Kluyveromyces lactis: one gene and its partners. The protein of the gene in region 6 interacts with the protein of the main gene of each other region in a pairwise test. Links are inferred from orthologs where the notes say so. Each region holds a gene or a part of one and is shown on either strand. Other genes may lie near its edges. The genes, in order: TDP1, SAP1, SRP1, MCM5, HMO1, SMT3 and RAD51.

Evidence for each region.
Region 1: the proteins of SMT3 (region 6) and TDP1 interact in a two-hybrid assay, tested with the Saccharomyces cerevisiae proteins (2 studies listed by BioGRID). The link is inferred for Kluyveromyces lactis from reciprocal best matches to the Saccharomyces cerevisiae genes SMT3 and TDP1.
Region 2: the proteins of SMT3 (region 6) and SAP1 interact in a two-hybrid assay, tested with the Saccharomyces cerevisiae proteins (2 studies listed by BioGRID). The link is inferred for Kluyveromyces lactis from reciprocal best matches to the Saccharomyces cerevisiae genes SMT3 and SAP1.
Region 3: the proteins of SMT3 (region 6) and SRP1 interact in a two-hybrid assay, tested with the Saccharomyces cerevisiae proteins (2 studies listed by BioGRID). The link is inferred for Kluyveromyces lactis from reciprocal best matches to the Saccharomyces cerevisiae genes SMT3 and SRP1.
Region 4: the proteins of SMT3 (region 6) and MCM5 interact in binary tests that used the Saccharomyces cerevisiae proteins (3 or more experiments, as listed by UniProt). The link is inferred for Kluyveromyces lactis from reciprocal best matches to the Saccharomyces cerevisiae genes SMT3 and MCM5.
Region 5: the proteins of SMT3 (region 6) and HMO1 interact in a two-hybrid assay, tested with the Saccharomyces cerevisiae proteins (2 studies listed by BioGRID, with this or other methods). The link is inferred for Kluyveromyces lactis from reciprocal best matches to the Saccharomyces cerevisiae genes SMT3 and HMO1.
Region 7: the proteins of SMT3 (region 6) and RAD51 interact in a two-hybrid assay, tested with the Saccharomyces cerevisiae proteins (2 studies listed by BioGRID). The link is inferred for Kluyveromyces lactis from reciprocal best matches to the Saccharomyces cerevisiae genes SMT3 and RAD51.

Annotation. Positions count from the first base shown.
Region 1 is NC_006042.1:884,402-887,737, forward strand, and holds TDP1 (tyrosyl-DNA phosphodiesterase 1), read right to left. Parts: upstream 1,995-3,336; coding exon 501-1,994; downstream 1-500. Other genes in the region: methylenetetrahydrofolate reductase (NAD(P)H) MET13, read left to right, coding at 2,887-3,336. UniProt on the Saccharomyces cerevisiae protein: DNA repair enzyme that can remove a variety of covalent adducts from DNA through hydrolysis of a 3'-phosphodiester bond, giving rise to DNA with a free 3' phosphate.
Region 2 is NC_006041.1:395,527-399,489, forward strand, and holds SAP1 (putative AAA family ATPase SAP1), read right to left. Parts: upstream 2,691-3,963; coding exon 501-2,690; downstream 1-500. Other genes in the region: TED1 (Ted1p), read right to left, coding at 3,128-3,963.
Region 3 is NC_006040.1:729,689-733,024, forward strand, and holds SRP1 (karyopherin alpha), read right to left. Parts: upstream 2,118-3,336; coding exon 501-2,117; downstream 1-500. Other genes in the region: KAR1 (Kar1p), read right to left, coding at 1-12. UniProt on the Saccharomyces cerevisiae protein: Functions in nuclear protein import as an adapter protein for importin beta nuclear receptors. Binds specifically and directly to substrates containing either a simple or bipartite NLS motif. Promotes docking of import substrates to the nuclear envelope.
Region 4 is NC_006040.1:778,788-783,013, reverse strand, and holds MCM5 (MCM DNA helicase complex subunit MCM5), read right to left. Parts: upstream 2,742-4,226; coding exon 501-2,741; downstream 1-500. Other genes in the region: mRNA splicing protein SMD2, read right to left, coding at 1-158. UniProt on the Saccharomyces cerevisiae protein: Acts as a component of the MCM2-7 complex (MCM complex) which is the putative replicative helicase essential for 'once per cell cycle' DNA replication initiation and elongation in eukaryotic cells.
Region 5 is NC_006040.1:1,520,488-1,523,335, reverse strand, and holds HMO1 (Hmo1p), read right to left. Parts: upstream 1,428-2,848; coding exon 1,386-1,427; intron 1,194-1,385; coding exon 501-1,193; downstream 1-500. UniProt on the Saccharomyces cerevisiae protein: DNA-binding protein that is probably part of the rDNA transcription apparatus. Acts synergetically with the RPA49 subunit of RNA polymerase I during rDNA transcription. May participate in mutagenesis control.
Region 6 is NC_006039.1:125,580-127,723, forward strand, and holds SMT3 (SUMO family protein SMT3), read left to right. Parts: upstream 1-1,362; coding exon 1,363-1,644; downstream 1,645-2,144. UniProt on the Saccharomyces cerevisiae protein: Not known; suppressor of MIF2 mutations.
Region 7 is NC_006041.1:1,798,048-1,800,940, reverse strand, and holds RAD51 (recombinase RAD51), read right to left. Parts: upstream 1,611-2,893; coding exon 501-1,610; downstream 1-500. Other genes in the region: Arf family guanine nucleotide exchange factor YEL1, read left to right, coding at 2,518-2,893. UniProt on the Saccharomyces cerevisiae protein: Required both for recombination and for the repair of DNA damage caused by X-rays. Its function may be modulated by interaction with other repair proteins. RAD52 interacts directly with RAD51, via its C-terminus.

The DNA of each region.
Region 1 (3,336 bases), on a different chromosome or scaffold from region 6:
ACACAAAACAGAAGATAATACAATGAATAAAGGAATAACGACTCTAAAGAACTAACAACTTCCCTGGTGCTGAAATGACCCTCTTATATTTCTTTATATATTGGTGAAATCAAAATCCTTTAAAGGAATATATATGCGCTGCATAAGCTTTTTTTTATTCGTTTCGACTGTACGGGTCGAGCGATTCGCGGGTTGCTATACCGTTGTATTTATCTCATAGATATGCTAGCGCATAGTAAGTGCGCCATCACAAATCTGCTGAAAAAACCTGTTTTGGCGACGGGAGAATACGACATAGCAGATGAGATTGATGGAGGCGATGAGGTGTATAGGTGTTCAAACGACGGAAAAGGGTGGGGGCACGTGATGCGTGGGAATGATGCGGACATTGTCAATTTTTCTGTTATTCCGGTGTGATACCTAAATAATCCGGGTAACGTAAAGCGCTGACAGATGTCAGCGCCTTAGAATGTTGTTAGATGGTATTATTGTGTATATCATCATTGAACGACAGAGGTATAAGGTTCGTCAGTTGCTGAGTAACGCTGAAATTTCAATGGATACGGCGTCACCACTTTTACTGTGGGCAGAACAGTTATGTCTTCGGGTACCCTTGACCCAATTGTTCTTCCTGGCGGTTGTTGGGCACTTGCTAGTGTTAACCGTACTTTGTTTCTCCCCATGGTTGTCGTGTATAGAATACCGCATTCGTAATTGGTAGGTTTTTTTAGTGGGCTGGGACCCCATGCAGCTTGGGAAAGGTTATGACTGGTGAGTAGTATCCAATCTGGTCGCTTGAGTGTATTTTCATCTGTGAATTGTATATAATATTTGGTATGGCTTGGAACCATATGCCTATTCTTATCGGACTGTGTCGCGTTTGTTGGCAGAGGGACATGTTTTCTTAAACAAGGCACTACTTTCCTCTCAGTTTGTTCTGATCTTTTGTAAAAAAACCAATTTGCACTTAGCCCCTGTGTCATACACTCTTTGATCTCGGTTTTAGTAGGCCATACCAATGTCGAGTGCGCTAGGAACGGTGTCGTATATTCCTTGGATTTCAATTTTTTATCGTACCCATCCTTTTCGAACCAATCGGTGTATAAGTACGGTATCATAACGTCCTGTAGGAGATCGAATTTTTTTCTGAATGGGTTCCCCATAGAACTTACCTGTATGAAAAGATTTACAAATGAAAGATCATCATCTTCTTCATCGCCATGCAATTTCATACCAGATGCTCTCAAACACGACTTCAATTGTGTCAAACCACCGTTATATGGGGTTGAGTACACAAATTGACAATTTTGTTCGTCCAAGACATGCCATTTGTACCGCTTTAAAGATGCAATCAAACCATATAATGACGTATACGATGAGTACGAATTAAGGTACTCCAATAATTCGTCCTCAAACCGGGATTTCTTTTTCGGTACTGTTTCTGACTTCTCGTATAACAGGGGTGAGGTCCATACTGTCTGCTGAACCAAGTTCATCTCTTCACGAGATAGATTAAATGACGGTACATGCATTCTCATCGTCCCATTTTGATGAAACGAGAAAATAATCTTGGAATGATGACAACCCCAAGGCGAGGGAATATCAACTCGATGCACTTTCAGGTTTGCATAATGCGATATCGGTTGTTCCGAATTGATTGTGTTCAATTGACCCACTATATGAACTTTAACGTGATCTTTGATCGGGGACATGATAAGATTGATTTGAAATCCAAAGGAAAATAACCAGACTTCATTCAATGATGGGTCCGAAAGTACATCATTCAACTCGAACATATCTGGTTGTCTTGAATCACCATCGAAAATGACACTTTTTACCACTTTAAAAGGGCTATAAACTGGTGCGGTAGCAGCAACTGGCGCTGCAGTTGACACATTCCGCCCTGAACCTATCGTTGTTGGAACAACCGGCTTACTATCGGATTTTGTCCCCAAGGTAGCCCAATGAGATCGTACTGTATCTCTCACACCCATGTCACAAGCACTCACTCAATAACTTCTACGGCATATAATCCAATACCAATATGTTAATTCTGCCTTGAACTTCGCAATTCATCTTCCCTGCAACTCTTTAGCTTCTAAGTTGAACTATTAAGGCCATGTACTGGATCGAGTAGATCCACGATAACAAAATCAACACAACACGTGATATGTATATTTCACGTGACTTAGTGTAAACCCCATTACACTTTTTTTCCCGAGGGAATGCACTTTTGTCCCACAATCGGGGCGGTTCACCGAAATTATAACACCGACAACACACACAATTGCGCATGTCCTGCAAAAATTTCGCAGGATAAAACAGGATGCACTATTTTCACACTAGCATATCTGTCGTTTTGTCATAATTGTCATTTTCGTCGGTTCAACAAGTTGCATGTGCACTTATTTTTACATCATGATTCACATGATTTGTACAATCGAGTCGCACACAATTACGGTATGAAAGGTATTAGGTTACTGAAGAGAGTTTCAGAATGACAGTTGTGTGCGAGAGTTCTCATATTTGATTTTTTCACAAGGTAAACGACTGGTAGCAGCACATCGTTCTTTCTATCTCGAAGATGATCGGTATTTTTCACTGAATATAGTGAGAATCGGTCATGCGTATATATATATATATAGAGTTCGTTCAGTATAGGTATAACTTTCACATTACCTCAAGTTTTTATTCATTTGGTACCTTGGTATGAGTAAGTGCTGATACTTAACTAAGCAAACTTGTTTGGAGTCTAGCAGCTACTGTTGATATTAGACTGACTATCATCCATTATCTCAGCTGGATTCATAAATTCATTTATTACTCTTAATTATTATTTGTGATATACTCTGTCTAAAGAAGAATCATAGGTACCACCAATAGAAGATGAGAATCTCTCAGAAGTTACAGCGAGCGCATGAGGAGCGCGAGGATGCTACGTTCTCGTTCGAGTTCTTTGTTCCAAAAACATCTCAGGGTGTCCAAAACTTATACGAACGTATGGATCGTATGTATCAGACCCAACCTGAATTTATTGATATCACATGGAACGCCGGTGGTCGTCTAAGCATGCTTTCCACGGACCTTGTGGCCACATCTCAAGGTGTTTTAGGACTTGAGACGTGTATGCACTTAACATGTACCAACATGCCAGTGTCACAGATCGATGATGCTTTAAAGAAGGCTTACGATGCGGGATGTGAAAATATTCTTGCGTTGAGAGGTGATCCACCTATCAATTCTTTAGGAGAAGAAGAAGAATGGAAGCCTTGTGAAAACGGATTCAGATACGCCAAGGATTTAGTTTCTTACATACGTGAACAATACGGGGACCAT
Region 2 (3,963 bases), on a different chromosome or scaffold from region 6:
TTTAAATATTATATTAGATAATACAAATTATGACATGAAACCCTAAAATTATAATGCTGACACTAAGAAACAGATTGTAATTGAAACATTACAACCCTGTTATATTTATACATTTCTGATCCGATGTTTCCCTGTATCCGCTATGATGCCAAATAGACACGCTGTACTCCTAGCAGACGCTGTATCATTTACGCATGCCTCATCCTCAGATATCTGATATAGTCCGTTTTAATTACCAAGTAACGATAGTTCGGTAGTATAATCTGTTATCTTATCGAAAAAAGATCATAGAAACAATGCAAATCTATGCTGTCACGTGACTCGGTTTTCGCCGCCCTAAAAAAAAATGTTTAGATTTTGGTATCGGCAACGGTTTTTCCGCAACGGTATTTCCAGTAATGTTTATCAGTCAGATATCGATGGGCTGATCTCGGGACGCAACGTAATAAGGATCGACAAGAGACGGACAAGAAACGGGAGACTCCATTGAATCATGAGGTTCATACTCCGGATGATCCGAAACTGGCTGCCCATTCTTCGTAACGGTTCAAACCGTCCTTTGAGACGGATGGTTTGATATACTTCAAGCTGTTACGGAAATCCTCCAAATTAACGGATCTAATACTATCTGTTTCCGTAAATAGTAGTTCATCTCCTAGTTCACGTAAGGGTCCCATAGCCGCATCTTTGGCAAGAGATGTGATATCACTGCCACTGTACCCGTCTGTTAGCAGAACCAATTCTTCAAATTCTTCGTCTGTCAGGGTGTGCCTTTGGTTTAGTAAAAGCCTTTTGAGCTGAACCTTTCTTGTGGTCGCCTCAGGAAGAGGAATGTATTGTCTTCTGACGAATCTTCTTCTGGCAGCTTCGTCAATAGACCACGGGAGATTTGTAGCAGCAAGAACTAGGACACGGTCGTCGGTATCTTTGGAATCTTTACCAGCTGCTGCGCTTGATAGCGATGACCATTGTACTAGGAACTCATTCTTGATTCTTCTACTTGATTCGTTTTCACTTTCGTTATTTCTTGACCCCATAATGGAATCTATCTCGTCCACGAATATGATGGACGGTGATAGCTTCTTGGCTACTGCAAACAAGGCTCTTACCAATTTTTCTGATTCACCAAGATATTTGGATGTTAAACTTGATGCACTGATACTGAAAAATGTAGATTTGGATTCTGTCGCAACGGCTCGAGCTAACATGGTCTTACCAGTACCAGGAGGGCCGAATAGCAGCATTCCTCTTACAGGTTCTCTTAACCCACGAAATAGGTCAGGTCTTAGGAACGGATATACAACTGCCTCTTTCAAAGAGTTCTTTGCGGTTTCCAAACCGGCAATGTCGTCCCAGTACACTTCGTCTCCGTGGACGACAATTTCACTAAAAATTTGTTTAGCAGCAGTCTTATCAACACCAGGCAATGATTCAATAAGCTCGTCCTCTAGTTGTTCCTTCGTCTGTGTAACTTCATCCAAACTTTGTGGGGCTGGTTTCGTTATTGTAGGATTAGTTGATATAGCAGATGTTTTTGTAGTAGCTGCAACAGATGTTGGATTTACCCTAGTTTTGGTTTGAGAAGTTGTTCTAACCACAGTATTTATTAATGAGGGACTAGATTTTGAAATTGGTTTCTTGAGTTTACTTGTTGAATTGCCGTTCTGAATTGATTTTTTGGCAGTGACGACAGGTCGCTTGACAGCTTTTGCTTTAAGCTGTGGTTGCGATGCAGCGACAGCTGCGCTGATAGACGTATTTCGCCTTTGAACAGGCCTTTGCTGCTTGGGTTGTGTAGGTGGAGAGGATTTTAATGCTGCGTCAACGTTAGTGTCTGAAGTTGTAGTTTTCTGTTTCGCACTGGGTTTCCTCTGAGGCGGTACTGGAGGAGGAGAAGGTCTTCTGGGAGAAGGACGCTGTGCCTCAGCAGTATCCACGCTTAGTAATGAAAATGCATCTGCTGTACCATTCAATTTATCCAATGTTTTCAGTCTGGTCATGTCTTCTTCACTGATGTTCAAATAATCCGTGTATGGTTCCTGTTTTGGATCAGAAGATATACTGAACGTCGGAAGAGGAGAAGGATCATAGGGGACAGTTTCGGCATCCGTTAAATCAATTAAATTTACCTCATTATCAAAGTCTTCAAAGGGATCCTGAGGAATTACTGCTGGTAGAGATTTGGATGCAGAAAAATTTACAGGGTTCGCCGTTTGTACATTCTTGTCGTTTTTTAATCCCAAACCACTGCCACTCTTGTTATATCGCATCTTGTACATCCCATCTCTTAACGTATGGACCTTAAATTTACCACCATTTCCAATAGAAAATGTTTTTCCGCTGTTATTATCAGGTTTCGGTACATCTTCACATAACAACTGCACTCTTTCCACATTTTTCATTGCTTTATCGCACAACTCACGTATTCCTGTCTGAAGATTCAATTCCTCCTCGGTATATGAAGCGAAGTTAGGATATTGACGGTCAATATTATTCAGCTTATACATTGCATCAGTAGCCATTAGTTTCCATCCTTGAATTGCTGCCTTGTACTCATGTCTTTGTTCTAAACCTAAATAATGTATTGTTTCATTCGCTATGCGTGAGTATAGTTCTGCCAACGAATTTAGGGGCTGCTGAGGCTTCTTTCGAATCCTAGAAAACTTCATTAGTAGCCCATGATTATCCATTATTACGATTCACTAGAAAATGGAACTTAGGATTTCCTTCTAGTTTGATATCTTACCATTTGTTGTTGCGTTAATCATTCCTTTTCTTTGCAGATACTTAAATATGGCTTAGAATTATAGAAAGATTGATCTGTTCTATTTGTTGCGTCAAGACAATTGTCAAAACAACAGGTCACGTGAATAAAGGGATTCATCAAAGCCAGGCAAGCTTGTGGAACGGGAGTAGGACATGCACCCGTTCTATTTACACAGTCAGCTCTCTTCAGTATTTTCAACTTAAAATTGCAATCTTCTAACTCAACGTTTTCCTCAGTATCAATTATAAATATAGAGTACGAATATATACAGTGACCAAAATAAATCTGATGTTGCATTTACAAGTTAAGATACCATACTGTTGGTATACCCAACAGAATATGCTGCTTTCAGCATGTCAATTAGAAGAAAAATGCTGACGACCACAAAAAGCCGGTTATAATGGTGACTACCTTGGTAAACCACCATATATGCTGAATGGAAAATGGACATAAATTGAAACTCCATTCCCATTGTCTTGTTGCTTCGTTGAAATGACCTGTTACTAGACCAGTGTTTCCATGGTATTCTCCCATCATCGACCTTACAGTAATTTCTTTGATATTTAGATTTTTTGGATCTGTTGTTTTGGATGCAGTCCAATTGCCTTTGTCATCTTTGTTATAGACAGTTTCGCAACCTTCATGATCGTGACCTGTCAAAATGATACCAGGTTTTTCAGCATCAAATATTAAGTTAAGTACCCTGTTAGAAGCTTCAGCACTCAAATGGTTTTGTGATCTCAATAGCTTGGACTTGTAAGGCTCTCTCTGGTAATCTTCTGGGTAGTATCTGAATTCTGGGCCATCGTAACACAGTCCAGATGGCTTATAAAATGGTATGTGAGTGAGCAATACCGTACTACCTTCGAATTTCCTTTCAAATAATTGGTATAAAAATTCCCAATTGGTTTCAAGTAATTCTGGTTGTAGTGCAGGTCCTTCTAATAATAAATCGTTCAAAACAATTATCCTCCATGCATTATCGGTGCCAGCATTATATTCAATCCAATAATTATCTTTTCCCAAGAGTTCGCGATATCTTGCCATGTGTTGATAAGTGGCATCTCCAGAGTAGCCAATATCGTGGTTTCCAGAAACATTGATGAACAAATAGTTTTCGGCTGAAGTCCAATTGTAGATATCTTGATAACCGAAACTAAAATTCATGGGACGATCGCCGGTTCTGATTTTGTTCA
Region 3 (3,336 bases), on a different chromosome or scaffold from region 6:
CATTGAACTCATATTATCGCATCAGCGTAATATTCAACTCCGAGCTTTGAAGTAGCACATATGCATTGGATATTTCCTTTTCGTGTGATTATAGGCGATGTTTCACCGAGGAAATTTCGATTGTGTATTTTTAAAGGTTTACAAAAATCCAAACCTTTAAATGTTGATATTATGCATCGGAACATGTAGAGGTAACACCGAAAGTGATATGCACCTAACTGGTCACCTAATTTCTATGACAGAGAGAAGGTCCATGATACTGTTTTTTGAGCACAGTTTTTACTTTTATCGTGGTTCAAAACTGCAAATAAGACTTGGGCCCTTTAATGACATAGAATTCTGTTTCACAATGAAGGGAGAAGTGTAGATTAATAATACTATAGATAGATTACATTAATGCAAAAATTATATGATATTTAACAGGCGCGTAGTATTCATTTATTGTCTAGAATAAAAAAAGCAAATGTAATTACATGACACACGCACAGCTAGAGTTGGTTTTAATTGAAGTTGAATTGCTGGTTGACATTTGATCCAAATCCAAAAGTGTTACCAGCTGTTTGTGGAGCCATAGATTCATCAACAACATCATCTTCATCACTAAAGTACTTTTCAATGATCTTGAAGGCCTTTTCGTAAATTTTTTCGTTAGCATTAGACTGTAAATTGAAGATCTTTTCCATACCACCAGCTTTCTCAATGAAATCAGCATTTTCGTTCACGGCAATACCTCTGACTTCTCTATCCATTTCACCCATCTTCAAAATATTTTCTATAGCATCTAGTGTAACCTCTATGATTCTGTTATCAGCAATCTCTAATAGATCGCACAATGGTTTTATACAGCCTTGACTGACCAAATATCTGATAATTTCTGGCTTGTGTAACCCACCAGAAGAGGCATTCGAGATGGCCCAACATGCTTCTTTCTTTGTCTTATATTCTGCAGTTTCCAACAATCTGATTAATGGTGGAATTAAGTTAGCATCAATAACGGCTTGAATCTGTTCCGTATTACCAGCGGTTATATTAGAGATGGTCCAACAAGCTTCCTTTCTTATGGATTCCTTTGGAGAAGCCAATAGATTTCTTAGAGCTGCCAAGGCTCCACAGTTGATAACGATCTGAGTTTGCAAATCGTTACCTGTGACAATGTTACCTACAGCTCTTAGAGCAGGGGTTTGCACTAACGTAGATTGGTGGGATAGTAGTTCTACAAGTCTCTTTGGGATTCTAGCATCTACTACCGCTTGGATCGAATTAACCGGGCCATCGGAAAGATATGAGATAGCCCAACAAGCATCGACTAACGTTTCAGTATCCATGGAGTAGATTAGCTTAGACAAAGTTGGCAAAGCTTGAGACACGATAGACCAATCTGGTTGAGGTTTCTTACCACGACACAAGTTAGATAAAGTCCACGTAGCTGTTCTAATCAAGGAAGTCTTGTTCAATTCGAACAAATATAGAATTGGTTGCATGGCACCACATTGCAAAACGTAGTCTCTATAATCGGTGGAATCACCAGCAACGTTACCCAAGGCCCAAATAGCTTGTTCCTTCACTTCAACCGAGTTTGAATATAATAATTGAATGAATAATGGCACAGCACCCGCATCTACGACGACTCTAGTCTGCTCAGAAGTACCAGAAGCAATGTTCGTCAACGCCCAAGCAGCTTCCAATTGCAACATCTCAGGTTGATTTTCGCTCATGAATTGGACCAAGGTTGGCACTACGCCAGTACTGATAACCAAATCGATAGGTGGTCTGTGTTCTCTAGACAAGACTTGTCTAAACTTGACCGTCACAGCCAACTGTTGTTGTAGATCGTTAGAATGGATTTGTTCCAACATAGCAGGCAACTCCTGTTGTAATTGTCTGTAGAAAGAGGAGTCCTGATCGTCATCATCATCATTTTCATCATCAGAATCGTTACCAACAGGCGCATTGAAATTTCTTCTTTTTGCTAATGCCTCATCCCTCTTGACTTTTCTCAACTCGACTTGTTGAACGTCTCTACGACGACGTAATTCATCAGCAGAGAATCTACCCTTATTCTTGAAGTTTGTCCTCCTGTATTCAGGAACAAACTTGCTGGAAGTGTCACCGTCCATCTTTCACTTATAAAATAATAAAACGGATACCTGCTATCTGATCCTTCGTGCTAGCCGCGAACCAAAGAAAATTCAGAGAAGTAAAAAAAAAGATTGTAACTAATTCCTTTCTACCAAACTCACAATCACAATTGATCGTCCCGTCTTTTCAAGTAGATATTTTTGCAAATGGGTTCCAAATCAAACAAAAATAAAGAGAAGTTGGATTTAAAGAAGAAATTATCAGTCGCAAAATCAATCTCTAACAATCACAAATAGCGTTTCCCCTTGAGTAAATGAAAATCTGATTCGTTTCTTTGTATTGCTTGACAGAAAAATATATCGGAAGCCAAGAGCACCGTATTGTTTTATATATGTAACAGTGTAATTGAAGTAGAATGCAAACCAATCTTTTATTCAATCCCATATAATATCCATCTTGATTAAAATCCTTCTTTTTTGGCCATCCAAAAAATTCGAATTTTTTTTTTTGGTTGAAATTTCTTTGCCAGATAGTCGTGATGTACGGAGTTGTCACGTGACATACCAACCTCGTGTAAGAAAACGACAAAGGTTCTAACATCAAAAGACAGGAAAAGATGGGCAGGGTCAATTTGACACACTTTTCAACACATATTAAGAGATGTATATACGTATACATAATATATTTGGGATGGTTGGTAATATAAATATATCACCGGGGATTCCTTGTTTTCGTTCCTCATTCATTCTCATGATACACACACACTAAAGTATACATGAGGGTAAGTTGATGAGAGTAGAAGCGAAAGAATTGTGATACAATCAACTAGCATAAGTTCCTTTTTCTATTTCCCCCTTTAGTAAGCATCAAAAATACATTCACTGGGTATTGGAGATGGATGGAATGATTTGAGGGAGAGAAAAAGGAATGGACAAAACCGCTCAGTTGATGTTTTATTGACATGTTCTCTCTAGCAGCATTTTGAAAATGTCCCTCACAAATAAATGAGTGCTCGAATGAACAGGCGGGAAAGATTCAGAATTCAACGCCAAGAAAGAAACACGGTTCACCTACTGCACTCCATTCCTTTTTGTTATATATATACTCCAAATATCGACGATTATGAATTTTCACAACACACACACTGCTGTACGGTTCATAAACGTCAATTTTTTTTCATTCATGAAATGGAATAATTTTCAAATTAGGACACAGATAGATGAGATTGAGTAGTATATACTGTGTTAATTTAACACA
Region 4 (4,226 bases), on a different chromosome or scaffold from region 6:
TTCCTTAGTGATATTATAACAGGTGTCCTCTGTAGCATTGATTCCCTGATTAGAGACATGGGTCCATATTTCATTTCGAATTCTTCTAGTTGTGTTAGCTCGTCTCTAGATAGTTCAGACCTTGAAAGGTCTGTCTTTGGAATATATGTATCGGCCATCGTGTTTTAGGTCAATTTTCTAGTATATGTAACAGACAAATCCTGAAGATAAGTCCTTGGCTTATGATATTTGCAATCTCGTAAGTTTGTGATAACTTGTCCTGATTGCCATATGATATGAGAGGTTCCTTCTTTGGTCATCTCATCATCTCATCCTGTGCATCAAACCCAATATACCATCCAGTTGTTTTCTTTCGGATTATCCAATTATCATTATCATTATCCGGGTAATCTTACACTATATAAATATCAACACATAGTCGCTGAAATTCCTTATACACAGTGGTACATATGAGTTATAGACAATGTTCAAGGAGGGGTTCCTGAATTTCATTTGCAACTTCATACTCCACTTCTATAAATATTCTGACCTTGATGTCTTAGTTGAATAGAATCATGTCTTTCTAACAGGTATAACGCCTTATCTAGCGCATATTGGGGAAGTTTCTTGTTCACAACGAATTCCCTTTGCAAAGTTTTGTAACTTGTAGACCATCCTATTGGCAACCTTCTTTTCAATTCAGATTCGATTCTTCTAATTTGTGAGAGCATTGTTGTATCATTTTCCTGGGAGTTGATAGGATCCTGAGAGGCAGCATCCATCGTAGAAGCTTGGAATAATCTAATGGCTTCATCAACATGTTTTTCGGTCGCTACTGGATTCAGTTCTAATTTAGCTAAAGATTCTGTGATACGAATTATGGCTTCTAATTGACGAACTGTGATTGGAATGGAAGACCTCTCATTGGAATGTCTTTCGGACTCTTGTAATTGTTTTCTAATAGTGATGAAATGAGAAGATAATTTTGTGGCTGCTTCAGGAGATAACCTGGGGGCACATTTTAACCTACAGTAACTAACATATCTCTTCATAGTTTCTATTGGAATTTCGTTGTTGGAGTTGGAATTATCATTTGGATCGTTTTGTTGAGTTCTTCCTGTGTGAATGTTCATGACGTGGTTCGCAATTTGGATATCTCTAGCTTCATTGTGATCATCTTTAACAATGAAGATCATATCGAATCTGGACAAGATGGTAGTTTGGAAATCAATGTTTTCACCCGGTGATTTCAAATCATCATATCTACCGTAAACAGGGTTTGCTGCAGCTAAGACACTAGTTCTAGAATTCAAAACGGTAGTGATACCGGCTTTAGCAATGGAAATAGTTTGTTGTTCCATGGCTTCATGGATGGCAACACGGTCCTCGTCTCTCATCTTGTCAAATTCGTCAATACAGACAACACCACCATCAGCAAGCACCATTGCACCTCCTTCTAGGTAAAATTCCCGTGTAGTTGGATCTCTTTGGACACTTGCCGTCAAACCAGCTGCAGAAGAACCTTTACCAGATGTATATACCGAAATCGGAGAAACTTTTTCCACAAATTTCAACAGTTGGGATTTTGCAGTACCAGGATCACCAAGCAGTAGCACGTTGATATCACCTCTTAGTCTCATACCATCTGGTAACAATTTCTTCGATCCGCCCATAAGGAGACAAACGATGGCTTTCTTGATATCAGTGTTACCATAGATACTGGGAGCAATTGAGTTGGCGAAAAGTTCATATAGATCTGGTCGTTGGGAAAGCTCCAAAAATTCTTGTTCTTCACTTTCCGAAAACATAGATAGAGAATTGTTTAACGGATTATTTGATAGGTGTTTGATCCCGATAACTTTCACGTAAGGGTTTCTGATCGCCACAGCTTTATTTCCAGAACTATTAATACTCTTATTCTTGGATTGGTAGATGGAATAAATACCAATAATGGTAACTCTTGTTCCTGGAACAACTTGGTTGGTCAAATATCTATCACATGTCATTAGTAAATTTCTAGGCAATTCACCAATTGGCACGGATTCCGGTAATTCTTGTAGTTTCAAAAACTGTTGGTCAATAAACTGTGACGATTCGTGTACGATTAAATATGGGTCAGGGCCACAAGAAGCTGCTGTTTCATCTGTTTCGTTGGAACGATCTGCAAGACACTCACGAGGTAACTGGACGTTATTGTTATTCAAATTCTGGAAATTGTTCAACTTCAAAGTTGTCATATGTTTACAGCTTCTACACATTAGCGATAACTGAGTGGCTCTTGATGTCAAGACACTGGATGAGATGATGATCCCTGTAATTCTGACGATCTTAGAAACGTGATCCGAATCCAAACTTCTTAATGGAATTTCCATAGAACTGGAATTTAAAATGAGCTGACATAGTGGGAAGTTCGACAACGCTGTCTCTGGATCAATATCAGAATCTTGCGATAACAAAACAATTCTCTTTGCCACTTGAGTTATTGCTTGTTCGAACAACGGGATAATATCTATCGGTTCATCCTGTAATTTTTTGTATAGATCTTCATTATATCCAATAAGATGCTCCGTATTCACGTCAAGGAAGTATTTATGAACCAACAGGTTATTTCTCAGTTGTTCTCTGTAAACGAAGTTGGAATCTAGTCTGAATTCCAGTATGAAACTCTTAAAAGATTTGATAATCTCTGAATTTTCATTGGAAGACAGTTCTTCACCTGCCAACACTCTAGTGGTATGGATCTCTGGTTTATCAAACGACATGGCCTGTCTTCAATTGACTTGTTGCCCTTGAAATTGTATAATACCTATCTCAGCAGTTTACTTAGAAACACAGACATGTAATACGGATACTCTTTAAGATGTATGATGTTTGTTGTAATTTAAGTCGCGATTGAATCCGGATATTCAAAACAGAATAAAATTCCAAATCAAAAAAAAAAAAAGCTTGATCTTCGCTTAACCTAATACGGAAAAGTAATTGATCGAACCGAAAGAAAAATAAATATGAAACAACACTTCTCAACACGTGACCCGGAAGGTTAAAATGCGGTTTTCTTTTTGCCTTGAGGGATTCAATTTAGGTGACGACGCGTTGCTCGAACAACCAACTGCACCGAATAAGGAAAGTCAATAAGGGTGCATTGCTTTCGTGGTTTGTTCTGATCTTAGAAATCGGAGAAACTTCGCTACACAGAATAACCGCTGAAATGTAATGAAAAATTCCTGCCACCTTACCAAAAGCGGCAAAAGGCCAAGCCAGGATAACTTAGCTATCTAGCAAAATCAAGCGTACTGATTTTTCAAGCCGTTCTTTAATCGGTCAAAAATGAAAGATGCAAAAAATCCGGTATTCAGCCATATTGGTGAAGAGGGGCAAGAGGAGACTGAATCCCGACTAAATTTTTCTACGACTTGAACTGAGTGAAACGGCTAGGAAAAACCTCATGATCGGTCACCAGACCAACAGCTGTTACAACAATATAAAGGTGGAGAGTAAATGTCACAAGAATGTTCTTAGAATTACTACAGACGAATCACTTTGCCTGTGCTTTCAACCGCACTGCAAAAAATGTTGAATGCATTCATCACAATTCAAGCCGCCAAAATCATTGAAAAATTATGGAAGCATTCTAGTCAGAAAATTTTTCTTTGATTTTGGGATTAGGAAATCATTGATTGAGCATTAGGTAAAAAATTTCAAGTCTGTTATTCATTTGTCCGCGCATCATCAGCTCCCTCTCTCTCTCCCAGTGTGTTCCTGATCTGATTCAGCACTAGACTCACCCGGCTTAGCGCCCTTATTAACCCCGTGTTGAGCTTGTGCGAACAGCCTGCAGAATATCATACGATTTAATGTTAACTACACTATGGGGAAAAAGCAAATTAGAAAAAAAGAAAAACAAGAAAAAAAATAGGCGCACGTCTAGAAAGTAATCGCGCTCATACACGCCTTACATGTAGATATCCCTCGCTCTTGCCACCCCATGCTTTATTATTAGCCATTCCAGTAAGATGAATCCAGCACTGAAACGTCAGTATCGAGCATTCAGTCATTGCCATGGCTAGAACTAGCTCTCAAAGAAAAACCCCCATTCCAGCTGCATCTCCAGTCGTATTTCCGGGTTCCTCTGTGAGAGTTTATGGTAAGTAAGTATGTATGTTTGTTTGTACTTGTGAATATTCCCAACAGTTTTACCATGGGGGTGCCTCCACGGCACATATCACCAGTTGCTACGACGTCAAACT
Region 5 (2,848 bases), on a different chromosome or scaffold from region 6:
AGTTGATCAGCAATGCTAAATGAGATTCTTTCAAACTTGTCACCGAGTAATTCAAAGAAGTAAACTGACGGCGGAATATTTGAAGAAATTTGGCACTGCATAGATGCATTGTAGATAAGTTATACGTTGACTTGACATTAAAATATACCACTCATTATTTTGGCATAGTATTTGAACAACGTGTGTACGAAAATAAGGTCCATGTACTGAATTGCACGTAAGTGTTTTACAAATTAAAGGATCAAAGATTAATTTCAATTGGGAAAGAATAAAAATAAGTGAAGTGATATGAAAAATTTGAAACAATACCACAAAGAAAATCTTCAATTACTCCACAATGCTTCCTATAGCAGCTTGTGCTGTGAAGATCATCCCATACAGATTAAATGTATTATTCTTATATTTCTTGTATATTATTACACATTGTTACAACTATTTTTACAAAGAAAGAAAGAGTGTCATCATATATATGTATGAAGCATTATATAAATCCCAGCTCGTTAGTCCTTAGATTTGTCTTTTCCCTTATCCTTCTTCTTTTTCTTCTTTTTCTTTTCACTGGAAGCATCTTCATCATATGGTCTTTTTTCAATATGGGGCAAGCCGAAATCTTCGGCAGATTGCAAGTAATCAGGAAGTGGAACAGGGGCAGAATTTGGACCTTCATTTAATGTTAAGGTACCATTTTTCTTAGCTTCCAAGTATTTTTGTTTTTCCCTTTGATAATTTTCTAGTTCTGCGTTGTACGCTTGTTTCCATTTGTCTTTCTCAGAGTCTCCTAAGTCTTTCCACTTCTTTGAAATTTCTTGAGTGATTTCAGTCGAAGACAATGGTGGGAGACCAGCTCTTTGTCTTTCATCACGCAAAGCTTGACGAACATACGCAGAATATGCAAAGAAGACGGTAAGCGGTTTCTTTGGAGCATAAGGATCACGTGGAATCTTCTTCTTGACAACCTTTGCAGCTGCGTCAGTGGTGGGAATTTCCTTCTCATCTTCAATAGGGTTTGTTAGCTCAGTACTAATGGAATTCAATTGATTCGTAGAAGAAGTTAACTTCTGTAACGCCTCTGTCAAAATAGTAAAGGCCTCGATTCTTTCTTCTTCATCATCGCCGATCGAATGGTAGAAGTCAACTAAACATGATGCAGTTTGGTTAGCAGCTTTTGATAGCTCGAATAGAGAGGAAACTAACTGTTGATGTTTAGGATTATTGTTGTTAGTACAGCTGGTCGAGATGACGCCTCAAGCATCGATAGATATACAAAACACATCGTAAAACAGTTCACCTATGAATGAGGAGCATACATGGAAACTTACTGTTATGATATGTTCCATATTCAGCTGCGACACCGTGATTTACAGCTTCATATGATAGTAACGTACAGAGTCCTTCGCCGTTCTTAGTTTGATACTAGGTTCGGACATCTTAAAATCTTTGGTGGATTCACGTGTAGAACTCTTTCGAAGTCTGTTGGAAGGGTCGTTCTGGAAGGAAGTTGTTAAACGGAGCTCCCATTAGCTTCCCAGTAAGTCCTTCTGAGATTTTTATGGTTCTCCTTTCAAGATGAAAAACACTCAGCCTGGAAGAAAAAAAGAGACTCCCAACGATCAAGTTACCATTATGTAATTTGATTGGTCAATACAAATATAGTCAACCGGGTAATACATCTAAATTCCCCACATAAAGTTCGGGTAACTAATATAGCAACCTTTTTTTTCCGGTGATGCGTTTGTTTCACGGAGAATTAAAGAAGAATGAAAGAAGACCCAGAAACTCTCAGGAATTATCTAACGCGTTCCTACCGAGATTGTATAAAATCAAAAACATGGTAATTCCGAACATTCATTCTTTTTATTTTGAAAAGTTAGTAAAAAAAATGAAAGAGTGTGGGCCGTTGGACCGAATGATGATCAGATCTGGTAGTAGGGACTTCGCTTAGATGGTTAGTAGTATTCATGTCAAAAGATGCCATTCCGTCTTAAAAGTTTAATAGTGAAATTGTTTGATGATTGAATTGGTGAACGGTATACGAACTTCGACTGACGAAGTAACTATATATGGTGTTCTCCTTGGTTTCTTACATCTGACATATAAGTTAATGTAGAACAATAATTAATGTGTCGTCAAATCCAAATAGGTAAATTTTATGAAGGAACCTTCTACTTATATACTTTGTGGATTGTCTTGCCAATCACCAAACGCTGTAGCCTTGATCCTAGTTCTTCTCAGCTTCGGCTTCTTATCTAGCATTGGTTCAATAACTGGCGCCTTAGAAATGCTCTTACAACGCCATAGTTTAACATGAGCAAATGAAAATGAACCATCTTTCACTTATAAATGGATAGTTCGCTAGACAGTTCAGCAAATATGGTGCCCAACAAACCGTGTTTTCAAAACTAAAGAGAAATAACACACTGCTTAGAAAGGCGTTAGTTTAGGGAGATTACGGTTCTTATGAGGGATAATAGAACGAAACTTGCCATTAGAGCATATTTGAGATGCGCATATATGAAAGGGGTAATGATGAAAAAAGGAAAAATGGTAAAAGCGCGAGTTTTACCACCTAAAAAAATACTTAGAAAAACAACTCAGGGTAGTAAGAAAATGAAGAAAATGGATACATTTTGCAATATAAAACGTGAGAGCTGATAGAAAAGGTGCGAGGGTGAGAAAAAAGTTTAGAAGACATTCCAAGTACAGGACAATTTCTCAATTTCAATTAAAAATCTGCTTAGAATTAGAAAATAATCTTTCAGATTATTTTAAAGCATGTACTTACGCATATTATTCAGATTATGAAAATTTCATTAAATATTATGATTATGAAGAGCTTTTTGATGAAGAT
Region 6 (2,144 bases):
CGTCCCAGATAATCACTAGGAACATTATAATACATCATCTCATTCTTAAATCGATCAGTATATTACTTACCAACTACTAACTAGAGTGATTTCTGAGTTATCAGGACCAAATCATCCAATTTACTAACCATGGGCAGGTGGGGGAAGGAACTGAGGGAAAAGGCAATCAGAATACGATTGCCATCTCTTTGGCTGAGGCTAAGCTACGCATCTAACAGCTTCTAAAGTACCTCCAGTCTTGGATCGCTCAATGGCTACATCGTCTCATCTCGTCATCTTGTGACACACTTCTTAACGTTACTGCGAATGAAAAAAAGTAAAGAAAATAAGATTGTGCCATGAACCAAAAGAAAAGACCGCAAACTGCATACAAAAAGATTCAATACGCCACTTTCGAACAATCCCTGGCGCGGGATTCTAAGGGCTGTCCAGAGAAGAGCCTTAAATATTCCTGGAACAACCCATACACCTTCCTATTTCTTTTTCAAATGATCAGCTTCACCCAGTTAATACCGCAGCAATGAAAGAATATGGTCCTGCAGTTTCCATTTCTCGATGGAGCTTCCAGTAGAGGATGTAGCCATCACCTGCAAGGGCGACAAAATAGAAAACTGAAACTAAAATAAAAAGGAACGAGGTGGAAAACCCAAATTGGGCTAAGAGAAACGGTCTACGGAGGTTCTATTTCTTTTTTTATAAGAAAGATAGGGTAATAATCTCGGTGCTTTTAGTTTAATGGCACTTGAGAGAACGGGTTTAAGGTTCCAATATAGCCCAGACAGTTATAGCTTTATCGGAACAAACGAATGAGCGGTGGTGATAGCGTTCGGCGACAAAAATCCAATGCAACACGGACTGAAGCTCTATCCAAAAAACTGAAAGGAAAGTGCCCTCGTGATTTATATTTACAGGGCATTTGCGCGCTGTAGCACGCGTCTTATCTTTTTGCTGTACTTGGCAAAAGGAAACTTCCGGCTTCCGGCTAAGTGTAACCCGGCCATGGCCGGGTTACGATTAATCCTTTTGCCAAGTACAGCAAAACAAAATGGGCAGGAGTGAAAGATCACGTGCCTGTGGGTCGTTACCCTTCCCTCCCCTAACTTCTCATTTTCATGCTCTCAAAAGGAAGAAGGAAACTGCTTTTTGTTAGAGCTCTTTTCCATGTCAGTTGACAGTCGAATTTCAGGACTACAGTATTTTTTTTTTTTGGCCAGGAATTAGTTCAACAATACAAATTACCTTAACAAACAAAAGCTCAATCTATACTGCCGAGAGTTAGAAGAAGAAAAAGCGAGTCTTTAAACATTCATTGAATCCTGTTTCTCCATTCTTCAACGCCTATATATATAACCACAGTTTGAAATGTCAGAAGAACAAGAACAAAAGGTGGATGTTAAGCCAGAAACACATATTAACTTGAAGGTTTCGGATGGATCCAGTGAGATCTTCTTCAAGATCAAAAAGACCACTCCATTAAAAAGATTAATGGAGGCATTTGCTAAGAGACAAGGTAAAGAGATTGAATCCCTAAGATTCCTTTACGACGGTGTGCGTGTGTTACCAGATCAGACCCCTGAAGATTTGGACATGGAAGATAACGATATCATTGAAGCTCACAGAGAGCAAATTGGTGGTAGTTTGTAATTGGGAGTGTACTTTGCAGCAGTAAGTGGGATCAACTACAGCATTCCCATCCTTTTTTATCTTTCAATGTAACCTATCTAATGTTATAATAACTGACTATGTATCTGGAATATTAAAACTACTTTGGATGAACAACAAGAAAAGTGCCCGCAAGCTTATCTGCATTTCCCCAGGGAAAACAGTCGGTATGGAATTAGAAATGAAATCCGAATGGAAAGAAAAAAGAGATTGGGTATCAAATGGCAGGGCTTATAACAGACCTCCTGCAAATTACCACCCTTGTATTCCTATTTCGATTCGAAAAGCTAGGTTTGCTTCAAGTTTCGCGTTTTTAGGTCTTTTTTTTTTCAAGTCATTTTCCTTCCTAGTATGGTGAACATTCTTTTCAATTAGTATAACTGTTACAGTAAATGATTTTAGAAAGAATAATTTACCAGAAGTGGAAGAAATATTAGCTGTCTTGTTAATAGTTTTCTGCCACACTCGTTTTGAATTTGGTA
Region 7 (2,893 bases), on a different chromosome or scaffold from region 6:
TCTCGCAAACCTTTGTTTTACAAAGTTAACGTGTTTTATATAGAAATGCAAAATTACTCTTTCTTGTCTATATGTGGAAATGGTGAAATTTCCAAAAATTTCGCTTCAGATTGTTGACGTTCGGAATTCCGGTGTGATGAGGTAAAGAATATTAAAAGAAGTCAAGCCTATTAATAGCACACTGACATGGAGAAGTGTTTGTAGCTATGATATGCAAGTCCCTTAAATGAAAGGATAGTCGTCCCTTTTCGCTGAGGGAATTATATGCGTTTTATGCGAGCATTTAACAACTAGAGAGGGTTTGCATGAATATACATATAGAATAACGTGCCCTATGGACTATTTATAACACGAATGATATGAACAAATAAATGAGAAGATAGATACGCAGTGGGGTTTTACTAGCAACGTAGGAAATTGAATGCTATATTAAAAATGTGGATTTTTCTTTTTATTCTTTTTTTTTTGGTGTTATGAATAACCAGGTAAAGAGAATCAGATCAATCATCGTCTTCCCTTGGATCTCCGATACCATCCTCGTAGATCGCAAACACACATTCTGCTTCAGGCAAACATGGTGAGTCTACCACTTTACAGTATCTCTGTGGACCTTTCCCCTTCTTGAATCCAAGACGAGTAGTGGAGGAATGAGCCATGATATTACCACCAATCGGTTTTTTTGGATCAGGGTTAAACATCATTCCTCCGTCAACTTGGGCCACAACCTGATTTGTCACTACCGCTGCGACACCAAACTGATCAGCTAGTCTTTGTAATGATCTCATGAACTTGGCAAGGTGCATCTGTCTTGCACTTAACTCACCACGTCCCGAGAAGTCGGTTCTGTACAATGCCATAATAGAATCGACAATAATCAGCGAAAATCTTGACTCACTCATCATCTGTGCAGCTGCGTCCAACAATTTCAATTGATGGTCTGCGTTATAAGCTCTTGCATATGCAACGTTATTTAAAGCATCGTCAGGGTCCAAACCGAACCTCTGCGCAATCGAAACCAACCTAATCGGTCTGAATGTACCCTCCGTATCAATGTACAAACACTTGCCTTCACCGCCTCCCATATCCAAAGGTATCTGGCATGTGACAGCCAATGTATGGCAAAGTTGCGATTTACCAGTTCTAAACTCACCAAACAGTTCAGTGATAGATCCGGTTTCTATCCCTCCGCCAAGTAGAGTATCAAGATTTTTCGATCCAGTAGTTAAACAGATCATTTCGTTTCTACGCAAATGAAAATCAGCCGCAGTGACAAAACCCATAGGCACTAGTCTCGACGCTTCAGCGAGTAACTTATCAGCTTTAGCCTCTGATATACCTTTAATCTCCATTAAATCTTTTCTGGGGGCATATGCCACCGCCTCCGCTGTGTGTAACCCACTTTCTCTTAGTTTCTTGATATCACCAGAAGTGATACCGTTCACCTGCAATTTCTCTATTGGGACAAAGGCGGCTAGAGCCACATCGTCTTCTTCAGCCATAAAATCCGTTTCCTGAATTCTTTGCTGAACATCTTCCATCTGTTCTTCGGTTCGTGAGACCATCAACTGAGAATGGCCCTGAGTAGTCTGAACTTCTTCCACCTGTGACATTTCTAATTCTGTGGAGTCAATTTAGCCTGGTTCAAGCGACCTTATAACCACTACAATACCCTTTCACAACTAGGATAGAAAACTGCTTCTCCCAAGAAAAGTGAACGTAATTGATTAATGATGTCTCATGTAATGTAATTAATAATTAAATTATATAGCCTTTTTCGTGTTTTGGTGTTTTGTTTTTTTTATTCAAATTTCAAACCAAAACAAATTAAAATGGTAAACAGTCCCTGAAGAGTGTTTATTTACATGGCACGTGACTCTTCAGTCACATGTCATATTGCGGTGGGTGGTGGATCAAGAAAGATTATCTCATCATGGTCCTCCCCATCATGACCATCACCGGAACTGAGTTCGAAAGGTTTAAGTGTAACACATGCAGTGCATTGCTTGTTCTGTCTTCCATCTTTTCTACATAGTACTGATAAATATAAAGTAGTGAGCCATATATGTTTGTAGAAAGCCATATTACTTGCAGTGTTATCATGTACAATAGATGTTGATCTTTGTCTCACTGCGTCTTTCCTTAGCGGCTTTTCTTAGCGGCTTTACTTTTATATCAGAATTAGGCAATAATATGAAAAGAAATATCGAAATTGTTGCCAAAATGAAATCTTAAAAGGAATTTTAAAATGGCCAACCGTTACATCAGGCACTATTAAACAGCGATAGATTTGATCGCCAAGTTCTCAAGAACGTCTTATTAATAAGTTCAGCCTTTCTGTCTCGGATATTTTTTTGTGGGGGAATCCTTGAATTCTTCGCTGACCGCTTGAACCTTGGCTTCTACCTTGGATAGAGAAGAATTGAAAGGTGTTTTGCGTATGTCAAAGGGCTTTAAGCAGAGGATTATACATAGTGTAGGGATAGAATCACATACAGAAAATTGCCATAATTGCCATCGATGGGTGCGTTTATAACTCCTAATAAGAACCAGAATCATAACAGATTGATGGTAGGCAATGAACAGTCCGATCCACCAATAGTGGAATCTCCGAAGATGACGAATATCCATGCGTTTATTAACGATGCAGATCTACAAACGGCTGACCAGATGCTGAAACAGACTTACCGGCCCTTGGAATATACACAGTATGCGAATTGGTTAGGTGCAAAGGAGAATAAGCGCGTACTAACGGAATTTTTGAACCTTTTGAGACCTTGGCCGACTTCGTTGTATCTTACTCTATCAAAGCTATCCCATGGTCTTTATTTGATCGCAGAAGCTACTCCGCTAGACAATATTTTAGAAGAACTTGCTGCTCAATGGACCGATGAAC